3 linked regions of the Schizosaccharomyces pombe genome follow. Changing the gene in region 2 together with the main gene of any one other region gives a genetic interaction. Each region holds a gene or a part of one and is shown on either strand. Other genes may lie near its edges.

Region 1 (4,984 bases), 2.1 Mb from region 2:
AAATTGCAGGTCTTCGTTACGCAGTATTATTGCGAGAGATGTTTACGCTTCCGTAAGCTACATTAAGTGATCTCAAGTCTTTGACTTGGTACTAGGAGTAGTTAAATCCACTATTAAAATAATATTCAAAATTAAGTGTGAGCATTTCCATTTCTATAAGCATAATTATGCTAAGCTGATTGTAAAAGTGTATATAATCATTTTCGTAATATTGTGGAGTTTTCATACAAAAACTGTCGGGTAAGGCATAACTTCATCATTTTTTCAGTAATGTGAATTGTGAATTAAGATTCTGGATTGGAAGTATTAGAAAACGTTGCTGAACTGTATGATCTTTTAAAAAATTCATTTTTATAACATGTTCATTGAAAATATTAAACCAGAATGCCCCTAAATTGGAAGAAGTATGTATCCTAAATATTGAACATGAACAACACTTATGAAATTGAAAGAAAGCTTGGCTTTTTCATATATTTCATTTACTGTTTAAAACCGAGTAAAACTTGAGTCAAAAGCCTCAGTGATTCAATGGTCAAAGTTGCCCAATATTTAACACTGACTTAATAAAAGTTAGAAATATTAATTTTGTCTGCTATATTTTTTTCGTGTGTTATCCATACTACAATAGTTTGTTAAGGGCTCTAACAATTATGAAAATCTTAAATTACTAATTGATATTGGTAGGAAGCTTGGAGCAATTAAAGAAAATAAAGTTACAATTACCAATCACGTAAAATGATCTGAATTAGTCACTTGATAAAGTTGGGTAGCATCGCTTTGTTCAGTAGCAAGATTGACATCTATGAAGTCTAATGAAATAAAGAGTGAACTTCGAGTGTTCAAAGAGCGTTTTCTGCTAATTAAGAGTTATAGCAATACTGTTCTTTAGTTATTGAAATGCACAGTTAGACACTTTTTTTGAAAGAGCCGGAACGCAAAAAACGAAACACTTTAAGAGTAATATTTCGGAAATGATTACGAAACGAAAACCAACCTCCCTTAGCATACGTTGGTAGTACTAGACGAGGCCAATTAACGTATTGTCTACGATGAAAATATAGGTAGATTCCAGCATTCACCATAGGGATAGAATATAACAGACGACAGAACAGACTTGGATTTCCAAATAATTCTTGTATAGTTAATATTATCGTGGTGAACAAAAAAATTCCAGGTGCCACAAATCTAGTCCAGTGAAAACGCAAAGGCAAGTCCGGAATCGAAAGTGAGTCGTAAGGACGAAATACTCCAAGACCCAAATCATAGCTATCTTGCAGCATACCGTCAAAAAAATTGTTAAGAATATATCTACGAAAGCAGTTTAATAAATCTTTGAAAGCTCCAAAAATGGTTCTCGTTCCATGGCGAGTCACATCGCCTTTTAAGGCCGGGGTACCAGTGTAGAGATCACTGATATAATCTCCAGTATTAGCCCATATTAAGCGAAAATCTTGTAAAAAACTATCATATTCTTCCAAACTCTCAGAGCTAGAAAGTACACCAATATCGTGTAATTGCATGTTTAGAATAAACTGTGCAATGCTAGTCTGAATGACGTTCGTCCGATCTAAGCAATCCATACAATTTGTCCTTACAAAGTTGGTTTGCATTGCAGTAGTTTTAGATCCATGCTCGGCATAATATTTTCCTTCTATCAAGAGACTTTGAATTTCAGCAAGAAACAAAGGGAGATTTCTACTTCCTTGCTTATGATAATCGTAGTAAACATAAGACAAAGGAGGGTTTTTATTTCGTTTACATAATTTTTCAAACCCAGACCGTAGAGGTGCTTCACGTCCTTTTTGGTCTAGAAGATTGACCACCACAAGATTGTCCCCATAATCGTTGGCAAGTTCTTGAAAATGCTTCCCAAACACAGTCTCGCTATAATCAAGAGGTTGTAAAGATAATAAAGGTCGATAATGAAGATCATTAACTTCGGCCCAGAACATGGGGATACTTCCTCGAATTTGAGTAAAAGAAAGAACCATTTGTTCTTCAAGGGTGATGGGTGATTCGATCATTATTATTTGTTCAATTTCATTAAAATTAGCAGCACTTCCTTGTGCGTTTACACCTCTGGTGAAATACCGCGTACCCGCATAGTCAGGAGAATGTCGTGTAATAACACACAGTCTAAGGTTATAAGTCTTTAAAAACGAGTTAGTAATGGCGATATTACCCTGAATCATCGGTTGAATCCATTCTTGAAAGCCTAAATCCTTATTCGTCAATTCAATTAATTCATGAAATGCATATTTATTCCAAAAAAAGCGGTAATTATATTTTGATGTCAGTTCAAAAGATTGGGTTAGTACGCGTAATCTTTGAAGGGAACAGGTTAGATCTAACGTTGGACTAAAAAGTATTTGGCCTTTTGACAAATGTTTATTGAGCAAACTGATATAATGTAGTTCTTCCTCATCTTTAATATTTAGCAGACCCGTGGAGAATGGAAGAGTCCTTGTAATTGGGAAGATAGCAAATTTCCTTGCCCGATAAATATTGTTTCCGAGAATTGCTGCATGCAAATCACAACTTGTAACAAGAACTACATATTTGTATATTTTCAATCGAATAAATCCATATAACTGAACGTTATTATAGTCAGGTGTCTTGCTGAGATCAAGAGAATTGCTCAAACTAAGGCATCCGTCGACTCTATCTATTCGAAGAGAAGCTTTTTTTTTGGAACATGATAGATAAATGCTGTCTGGAAATACTCTAACGTCCTGATTCATTATTTTGTTGTATTTGAGAAGCGTAGATGCTTTTCTGCTATAATGAACCCCGGACTAATGTATTTTCCAAATTAGGTCTCAAAAGTAAAAAATGAGAATGCTATATTTACAAAAATTCAAATCAAACTCTTTAATGTCCATGAAACGATTTTTGAAGGCTTGATTTCCAACGCAGCGCCTGAGTAACGAGTTCATTGTTACCTGAAGGTTTATGCAGCACGTTTTACAAAACGAACTTTCAGTGACAGTGTAATGTATGATATTATTAACAATTCTCATTGCACTATGTAATGATACGTAAAGTATCGCTATTCATTGTACCTTTGCTTTACAAGATAGGTCGTCTGGTGATGCTGATACTCCCCAATTACCTATATTAAGGCTGAACTACAAACTATAATTCGAAGAATAGGCAAACGAAAATCATAATACTGTATGATATTATTGATTTTGAGAGTAGCAAAAATAATTAATAATTCATCGTAGCGTTTTTCAGATATCACAGAAAACATACCATACTCTATCGCATAATCAAAATAGTTTACGAGCCTTCTTTGACTGCAAGTAACATATAGGCAATGTCGCTTTATATTTTGATACATAATTTCTATAAAAGTTAGGTGTTATATGATAACCAACTCTTCGAAAGGAAGCATATGTTTTGCTTTAATTAAGCTTTATTGATATTTTTACCGTTGTTAAATAATATATACTAAAGATCTGACCCAGTTGAATTTGCTATCTATGTTGTATTGCTTTTTACTAATACAACCGAACTGCCAATTTTTACATAAATATTTTATTAAATCGGATTGAGAAGTAAAAATTATAAAATCATACATTTAATAAAATCCTTTTTCAACACAAATAATCTCCATTGTTAATTAATTGCTTTAACCAACAACCTTGTTAAGCCTAATTTTGACCGCAGGAATTAAAAAAAAACACTAAATAAAAACAAGATAATTAAGAAACCAACATCTGCGAAACATAAAACTCGGTGGAAAATAAATATGGTTAAACGACATAGACACAAAAACAATGGTAATGAGAGTAACGTGAGTATTAGTTCGATAAGCATGCATATGTAGCAATAGCAAGTGCTTAACACGTGCTAGCAAATTATGTGAATTGACATGACAAAAAATTCACGTCAATTGATGAATGCGTAAGGATCACCAGAAATCGCGTGAATACACACCAAGACTTGCTTAAGCAGCAATAGGTTGTGCACTAGTGCTAGGCATAGACGTTTCAGCAACGCCTTGAGATCCTACTTCTTCATCATCCTCCTCGCCAATTTCAAAGTTATCAACAACTTGGGTGCTTTGAAGAATGTTTGGTTGAAAACTAGGTTGATAATCTTCTGTACCCATTTGAGAATATCTTTTACTACCTGTAGAGGTGTAAGAGTGTGTAGTGCCGGAAGTAGTTACACCATTCGCATGAGAGTAACGGCGTGGAGGTTCATTGATTACATCTGTGCGAGGAACGACACTAGCTTGAAATTGTGTTTGATAATGACTTTGAGAAGGCAAACCATCAATGTCGGTAAGGGGTTCAGGAGTTTGGAAAGGATTTTGCCAATTAGCCAACTCACGTTCAGCCTCAACAATATAGTCACGGGTTATGTTGTAACCATCGTAAATAGGGCGAGGCTCACCGGGAACAATGGGAGTATCGTCCAGGAGATCGAGGATCTTCTTGGCATACCCGCAAAGAATAGCAACCTTTTCAGAATGCTCAAGTAATGTACCAATATGAAGAGTAAAAGCACGTTTAAAGTTTTCGCGGGTAATGTTAGTTAACTGCGCTTCTGCAACCAAACACGCAGCTTCCTCACGAACTAGTTCCTGTTCCATAGTAATAAGCTTTGGGGACTCAGGATCACGGCTTCTAACATCATAAATGGAGTTAAGTAGCTTTTCTTTCTTAACACGGGTGGGTTGAACGCTAGCCTCAATATCACGGATGGTCTTCAGACTAACACGATATTGATCGTATCTGTCTACCATATGCTCCTCAAGTTCGCCAATTTCATATAAAAGTACACCAAGCTTATCACTGATATCGCTAATATCATCATCGCAATCTTCACCCCAATACGAAAGTTGATTGGCACATTCTTTGCGCTCCATGGCAACGTTTTCATAAGATCGAAGTAAATCCTTTTCCATCTTAACGAGAGCTGCAAGGCGTTTAGCCATTTCGGGAGTAAACATACCCACAGATGGATAACGGAA
Region 2 (6,308 bases):
GATAAGCAAGCATACCCTTAGTTCCATGTAGACTTTGGCGACTAGGGGTAAAATCTTTTACTATTCCAAACAAATTGACAATAGTATTCTTCTTTTGTAATTCTTGAGAGCTTCTAATGGACTGAAATGTAAGTTCCTTTTTCATTGTTAGCAAAACAAATATAAATCCATTGATATCTCACTCCAATCTTATATTCTCCAGCATTTAATAACTCATTCAACTGAAGACTGTCAATAACGTCCTCTCCCATGCTTGATCAACGAATGATCCAAATATCCTTTAAGAACAACAAATGAGTTTTAGCCTTTCTCAGAAACCTAAATGGAATTGGTAAAAGCTTTTTAAACCAAGACAACCCCTTGAAAGTGATGAACCTTCAGATTATTCAATAGACTGCGTGAGAGTTACTTGTTCAAGCTTGATCATTCCCCTTCTTCAAATTCCTAGGATGAACTAAGGGTTATTCAGTTTTATTTTACCAATAATGAATTTGTTTCTTTATCAAGCAAAAGAATGACCCACTCCTCAATCTTGAGGTTATGAGTGTTCATGGCTAGCTATTAAATGGATCGCCGTAAAGTCCTTAAGCTGAGCGCAGTTGTAAAACTTTAGACATATCCCAGTTTCTGCTAGGCTATTATTGAAAGAGTTTGCCGAGTATCAAGATTTACTAGTATTATAATAAGCAGATCGCATACCGGTTCATGCCAATTGGTACTTAAAAATTTTAATGTATGCGGTTCATCTCGAAAACTCAAGACGCTTACTTTAGCTAATCTAACGTTCAGTTTAGAAAAAGAATGCAATGCAAAAAGCGATAGCTTATTAAAAGACTTTCCTAAGGTATTGCATTCACGATCCAGAACAGCAAACCTGCAACGATCTATTTTGGTTTTAAAAGCGCCAACCTGCTCTATGCGTTTAAACCCATGTAAGTTTAACTTACAAAATAAGCAATTACTTTCAATATAATAAAAAATTGATCCAATCGAATATAATATATACGATTTCATTGTCATAATACCTAAGTTTTGACAGTAGTTTGCTCATAATCTACAAAAAAGAATAAAACTAAAAGAAAGAAAAAAACATGCATGGTTGTTCGTCAAACCTAAATGCCAATTATGCAGCGATATAAATATCCCCCGATCATTTGAGCATAGCTTCGAAGACCAAAGATACTCAGCAAAAGTAGGGCAGGTAACCAGAAAGAGAATAGCATAAAGTCCATTCCTGCCTTTTTCAGTGTCTTTGCCTGCTCCTGTATTGCTCTGGTTTCTTCAGGAGTAAGAGCAGTAGATTTTCCACGACCAACAAGCCGAGATTGCCATCTCAAAGACCACCAAACACTTTTGTGATGATCGGGATCTTCAGATATAGCGCTATCTCTTTTACTAGAACCAGCTTGCGCTGTCGTATCATCAGCAAACTCAGAATAAGGAGGGGGTACATCATCGGGAATGGCCGATATACTTTTTAAGGTTGACAGCATGGCTTTTTGCATCATGGATGGAACTTCACTCATATAATTCTGAGGTAGTTCTTGAAGCGATGGAAACATTGTAACAGTTTTATTCCACATACTTTCACTATATGACTTGGTCTGAACAGCAGATTCCTCAATTTCGTTAACAATACTGGTTGATTCTAAGGTTTCATTTGTATTAATGGAGCCTTCAGAATCCTTAATAAGAGAGCGAGAAATACTTTGGGCTTGTTCATTATTTGCTTCCTTAAAGACCAGTTTTATAGGCTCAGAAGAGGAGAGGTCTATCGGTTTTTTACCGCTAGCTCCTATAACATCAGGCTTGGCACCGTTGGAAAGTAAATTAACACATATGTCTTTATGATCATACAATGAAGCATAATGCAGTGGTGTATAGCCAAGTGCGTCCCTTTTGTTAACATCGCATCCTGCGTTGCATAAGAACGTCGAAGCATTAGACAATCCACAGGCAGCAGTAAGGTGGAGAAGTGACCTACCAGATTCGTTAACAAGACTAAAATCAGAAAGGTATGGTGTCGTTGTATCTGTAACAAGAGCAAATGCTGCGAGGATAGTACTTTCAACACTGTCATCAGACTGATTACTGTCTTTTTTCACAATCCGCGAAATAACCGATTTAAGCGATTCCATATTGCTATCATGCAATAAGGTTTTTTTAGACTGACCTTTAGATTCACTGTTAGGAGGCTGCTTAATAGAATTTGTTATATATTGAGCAAAATCGTCGCGCCATGAACTCAACAATTTTTTGGATAACGTTAATGGGTTTTGAATAGATCCAGTAAGTTTTAAGCCTAAAACTTGAACAGTTAATTTGTAAAGTTCATTATCTAAATTATCTTCATAAGTAAACATTACTGGCGCTTCAGAAGATGAATTATAGTTCTGAAAGGTTACAGGAACGGTTCCAGCATTAGTTGCAGGAGGACAAGTCGCTATAATCGTTGACTCACTCCACGAAAAAGTTACAGCAGCTGGGTTGTCACCAAATAAACAGACTAATCCATTAAAAAAGTTCGCGCCAAGAATTGTAACTTCATAACCTCCCATGATTGAACCCTTATTAGGAATAATCCGAGATATTAAGGGAGCATGTGAAACATCAGGTGGAGTCATGTTTATAAAAGAAGAATCAACATTTTCTTTTATCGGCGTACTTACAAAATCAGGTTTAGCAACCTCATCAAATTGTGTAAGCAAGTTGTTGACACTACTTTTTTCTTCAACGGAAAACGAGAAATCATCTGTACAGTAAGGGAATGGGGCTATTGGGGCACTTTCATTTGTATGGGCTTCAAGCACTCCTTCCTCTTGCTGTTGTCTTTGTTGGAAACCAGCGGCATCGCTGGGAACTCGAACAACATGGAAACCATTCTTTGAAATGGAAGGACTTACGCCGCTTGGGGTAGTCATACTCAGCACAGAAGGGGATTTGCTCATACTAAAGGCTGAGCCCTCAACACTTTTCAAAGTGCTTTTCGAATTAGGTGAATGCGAGTCACTAGCAGATAGTTGTATGTCGAGTGCTCTAGAATTTTCACTCGAGGATGTTCGACGACGCTTTTCATTTGGTGGATTATCTGAACGGGTAGGGAAACCAGTGACAAGATTGGGGACAGTATTGCTTTTAGAAAGAACATGGTTTGAAGGAGCTTGTTGAGAATTGCTCTTACCAGTCTTTTCTGATTTCGTAAGATTTCTACTTTTATGATCATCAAGAACGGTAACAGGCTCTGGAAAAACAAGACGATCCACCAAACGTGACATGGAGTATAAGTCCCATATGATGTGAAAGTAAGGGCATGATTGATGAGACGAGTAACATGTAATCCGTGCATTGATGTGAGCAACTCTTTCATTTCCATCCAATTGCAAACGAACGTACTCAGGTCCAGTAAAAACCATTATCATTCTATCTTCATCTATGTCTTCAAGTTTGGGAAATTGATTTAAGAGCTTGATCCTGAACTGCTGCTTTTCTTCGGGAGAGGCATCAGTCATGTTACGCTCATAAGCCTTCAGTTTAGTATAGTTAGGCATACAAGCATCCTTTGTTGCTTGAGATCGAGCATTGCGCTTCCTTTCTCGAAGTAAACAGCGAGTACAGCAAGTCTTAACAACTGAGCTTTTGTCACCTGCAAGAACGGTAGGTACAAGATGAATGACGGTCTCCGGATCGGGTTGCAAAGGCTGAGGTTTCGAAGAACGCTTTTTGTCTTCACGGTGAGCCCAACTTGGCAAGCGAAGATATTCAAACGGAACACTTTGATTATCGTTGCTCTTGATCCGCAACTCAAAAAGCATGTTAGTTTCCACCCGAGATTTCCATTTGTGCTCATTGATAGCTGGTAAATGATTAACTGAGAACGCGTACTCCTTATTAGAAAGAGGCGGTGCAGACGTATTTAAAGAGGAAAATGCATAATCTTCGGCATATGGCGTAAGAGTATTAATAGATTCGTTGAAGGGAGTTTCCAACATGGTAATCGGCTGTCTAAACTGTAATGGATCTTCGATGGCGCCCGATGACTTTACAGAATTAAATCCAGCTTCATAAGGTGCTTGTTTCATAGGATCCATTTTTAAAAGATAAACATCCGACTCTCCAAACATGGGATTATCTCCCAAAGGTTGATCAACGGTATTAGCTAGAAAATTAGCATCAGAAATAGAATGTTGCGGAGTAGGAAACACCGTTCTGTTCAAATGCAAACTAGGATTGATGTAGTCTTGCTGACGATCAGACGGTAAACATTCCGCTTCATCTTGTGAATTCGATAAGTTAGGTGAACTGGCATGGGATAAAGACGGAGGAGCTATACTAGGCAAATTTAGACCTTGATCCGGCAATCCATCGAAGTTAAAAAATTCACGCATTTCTGCATCGCCGTTTCCGGCTTTTTCAAAATCGGGAGAGGAAAACATATAATCATCAGAGGAAGACCTCCCCTCCTCTGAACTAAATTTCATGAGCTTGTTTACTTCCCAAGTTCCTTCTTCCTTAGTCGAATTCTCGGTATTTTTGGCGATCAAATTTCCAAAAGAAAATTCTAAATTCATCTTGAGAGTACTTTGAAATGCAATAGACTACCTTTATAAAGGCAATTCTTTCAAAGAATTTAAAGGTCTTTAATGTACTACTTCTTTTCAATTCTCACTTTTGCTTTCCTCCTCGATTAGTTGGTTGTTGGAAGCTGTCGCTGCGCTACTACACTAATCTCTTCCATCACGTTGTGCAAGTATTACATGCTTTCCACTTGAGCACACATTCTCTAGTATTACTCTTATTTTAACAAGTTATTATGTTATATTTATTTAAATAATTAGTTTGTGGGTTTTGTTTTTTAGTTCCGCCACTTTCTTCATATTCGATTAATTTCCTTTCGGCATTATATACCAACAAAAAAATTCCCAACATTCTGATAAATTTAGTAGAATACATGTAAATGAAATTGTTCTTGTCAAAGTACAACTTTCCTTAAAAAATTTTTACAATGTTAAATAGGTTTTTACACTATCCCGCATACATATAAGTTGAATGTTCATAATACTTATTTTATTCGTTTTGATAAATCATTAAATCTTTTTATATACGATCATTCTCAAAGTACTTCAATCCAACAACCTGTTAACTTCAGCTGCAAGAGTTGTGCACACATTTATACATACAGAAATACTAAATGCGAAAATGGCTCCGATTTGTTAGACTGTTCCAATCAAGTCGGCAAAGACAACGGAAAAGCGTAATAGAAATTAATCGGTTACATTGATGTACATCAAGGCATCTTTGACACGTTCCCTTACATCAGGAGATGAGTGATTTTGTAGCATCTGCAAACATTCTCCAAATCCGAGATTTTGTAAGATACTTGCTCTTTCCTTATCTTCCTGGCTTGGAGATGTACATTGTTTGGGCCATAGAATGTTAATACAGAGCCAAATTCCGGCCAACAGAATTTCGGAGTTTGGTTCATAAGTGTCCTCTTCATAAATATCGAAAGGAGGACGCATTTCCCTATCAAAATCATCTTCTTGCAAATCCATTTCACTGTCACTTTCCGGAGATGACACATTTGTGGACATTTGCTCGGGCTTGAGACGTTGTGCTTCTTGTAGCATAATTTCCTTCACCAATAGTAGTAGTTTGGTTTGCCTTAGGATAGAATCCCTAAGCTCACCATCGCTGGCAGCGATGTGCACCAAAATGTAAATACTGGGTTCAATTAGGATAGGATTTTTACTTTCTAATTTTTCAAGCAAAATTTTTGCTAACAACTCCATAGGAACCATTTTCAAAAGAAAATCCACGCTTTCTTCTTTCTGACATGTAAAATTTCGCAGCACTTGCAACATTTGCTCTTGGACCCCCAGATCTTCGTCATTGCAAAGTTCCACAAGCTTTGAAGCACCGATCTTTTTTAAAGGTTCAAGCTGGATCGTCTCATCATCACCAAATACAACATGCCGCAGAACCCACACGGTCTTCTTTCTTAGACTGCTATCTTTCGTACTAATATTTGATATCAAAGTATCAATGAAATTTGTAGTAAGGAATTTCTCTCTCAAAGGAGAAAACTTAAGTACCAAGTTACAAATGGCAGACGTAGCAGTCGATTTGACTCTAGTATCCGGGTCAGAAAGCAACTTTATTAATGGTTCGCTCACGTCTGCATCGGCAAGGCCCGTACGTAAAATGTAAACGCTTCTCGAGAGACTTAATAAGCATTCACAAGCAGCCTTTTTCACGCTGTTAGAATTGATTTTCAAAGCATTAATGATAACAGGCAAATATTTAGCATC
Region 3 (5,124 bases), on a different chromosome or scaffold from region 2:
TGACTATGGTGAAGGCAACAGATTGGACGATGTTGATGCTGAAGACAAGATTGCTAGGAAACGCTCTTTAAAGTTTTATGCTAATCAAATTGACCAAAAGGCAGCTAAGCGTTCCAGAGCGGTACTGGAGTTATCAGGTGATTTGGACATGCCATACAAAGAACGAAGATTTGAACGCCAGCAGCGATTGATGAGAGAAGCTGCAGCCAGGGGTCGAAATCAGGATGCTGGTGCTGATCTTGATGATGAAGATCCGGAATCAATGGGCATACCTGCAAATGTCGATCGTGAAGTTGAAGATCAAGATGATTTGGATTATTACGAGTCTCTCGATAAAAAATCAAAGATGGCTAAAAAGCTCCGTAAAGAAAATCACGATCTCGAACGTGATTTAATAAGAGCTTCAAGGCACCCAGAACTAATTGAATTAGGTGAAGGTGATAAGCGTGGAATTACTTTAGACATTGCTAAAAATAGAGGATTAACTCCCCGTCGACCTAAAGAAAATAGAAATCCTCGACTTAAAAAGCGTATGCGCTACGAAAAAGCTAAGAAGAAATTAGCCAGCAAAAAGGCTATTTACAAGGGCGCACCACAGGGCGGCTATGCTGGTGAGCAGACTGGTATTAAAGCTGGTTTAGTTAAAAGTATTAAACTTCAATAGAAGTGGTGGTTGGTATTGATTCAACTATTAATTCTGCATATATTAGGTTTTTTGAATTTTCGTGTTATTAGATACATATAATAATAATGTGGTTTTGGGTTATGTTATTTGCTAGAACAATGTCGTTAGCCTAGTGATATGATTTTAAAATGCTAAAAGTCTATGTAATCTGGTTTATAATCATTAAATCATTTATAATCCTTTGCCCATCCTGATTAAGTAAGTTGATTGTAATAACAGATTGAAAAGTAAAAAAAAAAGAATCAACACTTAAATAGAATAAACATGTTTATTAAAAGCTTGATTTAGAAAGAAATTTCATAAGTAAGTTGCCTTCGTAATTGCTGCGAACATCAGTGCAGAAACTAATCTTTCTTAAAACATGCGTTTAGTTTATTAGAAAGAATTTCTTACGATTAGGCTTACATTAATTGACATATTATCAGCAAAAAGAAACAAAAATTATTTAACTGGAATGGCCCAAATGCGGTCTAGGAAATATCCAAAAGGTACCCTTTTGAGGTTATAACAAAGAAGTTTGATGATGAGAAAGGAAAGGCACCCAAGATGTTAATGCAGTAGAAAAAGTTATTTTAGACCATCGTTACTGGTGATAAATAACGAGTAAATTACTCACGAAAAAAAAAAGGAATCATGAAAAGCACTTATTTTGCGAGACGAAGCCCCAAAAGATCTCGCACATCATGAACATATTGCAGTGCATGAAGAAAAGAAAGTAAGTTTAGTAAATCAACGTCAGAGGGGTCGCTAATCCAACCTTCAATAGGTATGGCATTTTCTTTATGAGCATTGTAACTGGCTGGAGAATTATCAATTATCATGATCCGTGAAAGATGAATATTACAAATGGAAATATCTTTAACGAAAGAACTATCGACAAGTGCACAGTGTTGACGGTAGTATCGTTTAGCAAATATTTTTTTATCACGCTCCAAATAATCAATTATTGGATCAGCATATGGCTGGACAGATGCTGTGAACAAAATAAGGCGAAACCATTGACTCACATTTGATAAAAAGTAGTCAAGATGAGGCCTTTTGTGAATATAGTAAAGGATTGGATGTTCACCAGGCACATGTACTTCAATTGGCTGTCCAGAAGTCGTTCGACTACCACGAGACACGGAATGGATAAGTGTTTCATCCAAATCTAATACAAGGGTCTTTCTCGGTAACTTGCTATTCAACAAAGGCCTCGGTATTTTGTCCGCACACAGAGTAATGTTTCTAATACGGAGACGGGAAGAAGAAGGAGATTTAAGAGGATCATTAACTATCGTAAAGGAGGAAGGCAGCTTAGAAATATTGTCATTAGCAGGCGGGGAAAACTGAGTTGATTGAGGTTGATGCGAATGTCCTGAACGATTGGAATTTGCTTTTCCCATTAGGGAGACCTCTTTGGGTTTCATAGGAGAAACACACACATCTTCTTCTGAATTCAATGAATTTGAAAAAGAATTGAAAGAAATTTCTTCTTCTGCAATAGAGGGCTGAAAACGAACATGATTTCCATTAGAAGAACTGCTATAAGAATTAGAAGATCTATGTCGTTTGAAAGATGAATAGGCAGGATCCTGGTGAGAGGATGGGTAAGAATAAGAAGAATAAAACCTAGGACGGCGGACACTTGGCTGAGGGGGAAGCATCTCTCGGCGTTTATACGATAATAATACAGGAAAAAAGACAAACCGGCATAGACCCCAAAAAAAACTTGCAAGGGTAAACTCTTTCTCTTCATTCAAAAAGTGGTACAAAAATACACGAGCGGAATGAACGAAAAACGTATAAATTCGTTTCAGGAACACACGAATCCAGTAGACGACAACACGCATAATGTTGGCATGCTTCGGTTTTTCATTCCTTGTAGGAACTTCCTTTTCCGTCGGTTTTGATGACAAACTGCTAAGGCTGGACGCCGAATAAGACGATCTACGACGATTATAATGCCTCAAAGTAGCTGATGAAGCTCGCCCCCGAGCATTAGCAAGTTTTTCTTTGTCAGCTTCATCGTCGTCTAAAGGAGTGGCAAGGATTGCTTTATTAATTTCATCTGATAGCCTAGCAATCGAATTCATTACAATTATTTTCTCTCTGCTGCGATTGCAAAGAATTAAAAAATTCACCAAAAGAAGCGATGCATACAAAGTATACAACGACCAAGCAGAGTCCTTTTAGTAAAAAAGAGTAATTAATTAAATATGTGTTAGTTAGACCTAAAATATGTGGGAAAACAAAGCCAGAATCACACGGTGGTACGATGCACAATATATATAATGATGAACTACAACCCAAATAATAACATTTTCATAAGACGTAATGCTTAAGAAGATATATCAAAACTACCTTAAAGTAACAAATTTAAATGTAAACAATACGGTGTAAATATTTATTAAGTTCGTAAAATGAAAGTTCATTGCAGAAGCTTTCATTTTTTTTAACTAATAAACTTTACTTGTATGGGTTTCTGTGCAAGAAAAATTAATTTTCATTTTATTAAAAGTCTAAATATTTGTAGAAGCTAGCTTAATTGCCATTCTTTTAATCAACGTTTTGCTAGAATGTAAGTCGCCGAGCGGTCTTTTTAGGTTTCTTGACATTACTTGAAAGATGCTTTTAAGTCTAAATATATTTAATGGTACGTTAAAATGTATCAAGCTCCTTTAGACGTTGCATACAATAAATTACTTACAAATAACAGGCTGAACTAACTTATTGACTTTACAAAATTATAAACATATCGATAAAATTGGTTAAGCGGACACTAAAGAGAATTCAAAACACTTGCTAATCTGAATATTGCACTCTTCCTCAGGTATCAGCACCTCCTTACGTATTTTTTATGAAAAGGGAAAACTGGGCTAATGCAACATTCGTAAACCAATTTATCTATTGCTAAATCATTCCAAAATCGTAAGCGTTTGCATTTCATTGTAAAGGAGATTGTTTTGTTGCTGTGTTAATCTACATGTAATTGATAGCAGCTTAGAGACTTCGGAGAAGAACTCCTCTCCTACTTGAACACTGTCTTATGACTAATTTAAGTATTACTTTTAAACTTCATCTTTTTCTAGTAAAGAGAAATTCTCAGTTAACATAAATCAATAAATTGTTCAATTGAAAGCATGTAGTCGGTAGGAGTTATATTTTATATAATTATATAATGGTTTAAAGATAGCACTTTAAATATATTATAGTATAACAATAAAGTCAAGTTCTTAACTATAGGTGAAATTACTCCAGCATTGCTTCCTTGAAACACTGATTACTTGCTTTGTCGCTAGGTTGCTCTTGTATTGTCGTTAGATGTGTTTTTGTAAACACAATTCAATCTAATTTTATTTTTCTAATTATCTTCATGTCAACATGGCCTATTGATGCAATTAGTAAAAAACCTAGTGTAAGTTTGGATTATGGAATTATAGGGGCGTGTCAACTTTTAAATCCATCTGGCTATCACAGAGCGGAGAAGGTTGAAAATAATGAATGGACTTTTGCTAGGTATGACTCCTATACGGGCGTCGAGCTTGTTGACTTGGACAAAAGATGGGATATCTTATCTTTAAATCCAAACTACAAACTCCCTAAATTAACTGAGCTTCCTGCTGAGGCCACCAATTCCACGCGTAAAGCGACTAGTAGTTCATTTGGTTTAAGTGTTTGCAGATATGTTCCGCGAAATTTATTTTCTACACTAGCGAAAGAGTCTCAATTAGCTTCTTCTGCTGAGTCTATATATAATCCACATATTTTAAATACTTTTTGCTTGGGTAAAACAGCGCCATCAGATAAAAACAGATACACCACAACTGAATGTCTTGCTTGTAGCAAGATTAGCAATGAAACTGCGGAAAATCTCCTCTTTTTATGCCTCTCGTCTCCATGGATTTTTCGTGCATCTCCGACATTACAAAATACTGCAACTTTTGAAGAATTCCCATTTTACTTGAATGTATCGGCTTTTGAGTTTGCTGAGGATCCAATATGGAAATTCTCACAACCAGTGAGACAATTGGTTTTCTCTAATGGAGAACCAAGTTTGCTCTTCGCATTATCGTCTTGTGAGTTGGTTATATTCCAGGTAACTTATGATTTAATGTTCTTAGATGAGCCAAATACACCTGGATGCTTGTCCGCTATACCTCTGCGTTTTTTGTACGCAGATGATGTTTATAATTCTGACTCGTTTGCTAACGTGTCTGTCCATCCCACCGATAATTCATTTTTTTTAACAACTTCATCATCTGGTAGATGGACCATCTGGCAATTCTTAGATGATGGGTACAGGGAATGCTTCGGTAGTTCTTTCAAAGAGTCTTTGCAACAAGCATTATGTTCTGCACCAACAAGTTCCATTGCTTATCACGAAGAAGAAATAAATCCCGATAATACAATATATAGAGCTAAATGGGAAGAGTATTTTGGCGGTGTCATTTTGCATA

Evidence for each region. Genes that interact genetically often act in the same process or in processes that back each other up.
Region 1: mutations in mga2 (region 2) and sac12 together harm fitness more than expected from each alone (negative genetic interaction), as found in Schizosaccharomyces pombe (2 studies listed by BioGRID).
Region 3: of mga2 (region 2) and nem1, a mutation in one rescues a mutant of the other (synthetic rescue), as found in Schizosaccharomyces pombe (2 studies listed by BioGRID, with this or other methods).

The regions. Positions count from the first base shown.
Region 1 is NC_003424.3:2,060,901-2,065,884, forward strand, and holds sac12 (inositol polyphosphate phosphatase), read right to left. Parts: upstream 2,883-4,984; 5' UTR 2,742-2,882; coding exon 906-2,741; 3' UTR 673-905; downstream 1-672. Other genes in the region: eisosome BAR domain-containing protein Pil2, read right to left, coding at 3,953-4,984.
Region 2 is NC_003424.3:4,123,472-4,129,779, reverse strand, and holds mga2 (IPT/TIG ankyrin repeat-containing transcription regulator), read right to left. Parts: upstream 4,698-6,308; 5' UTR 4,569-4,697; coding exon 1,113-4,568; 3' UTR 975-1,112; downstream 1-974. Other genes in the region: shelterin complex subunit Pot1, read right to left, coding at 16-136, 183-251; protein Gid5, read right to left, coding at 5,262-6,308.
Region 3 is NC_003423.3:3,371,101-3,376,224, reverse strand, and holds nem1 (Nem1-Spo7 phosphatase complex catalytic subunit Nem1), read right to left. Parts: upstream 2,924-5,124; 5' UTR 2,761-2,923; coding exon 1,330-2,760; 3' UTR 673-1,329; downstream 1-672. Other genes in the region: U3 snoRNP-associated protein Utp3, read left to right, coding at 1-664; RNA polymerase I transcription factor subunit Rrn6, read left to right, coding at 4,041-5,124. UniProt on the Schizosaccharomyces pombe protein: Catalytic component of the nem1-spo7 complex which acts as a phosphatase and may be required for proper nuclear membrane morphology.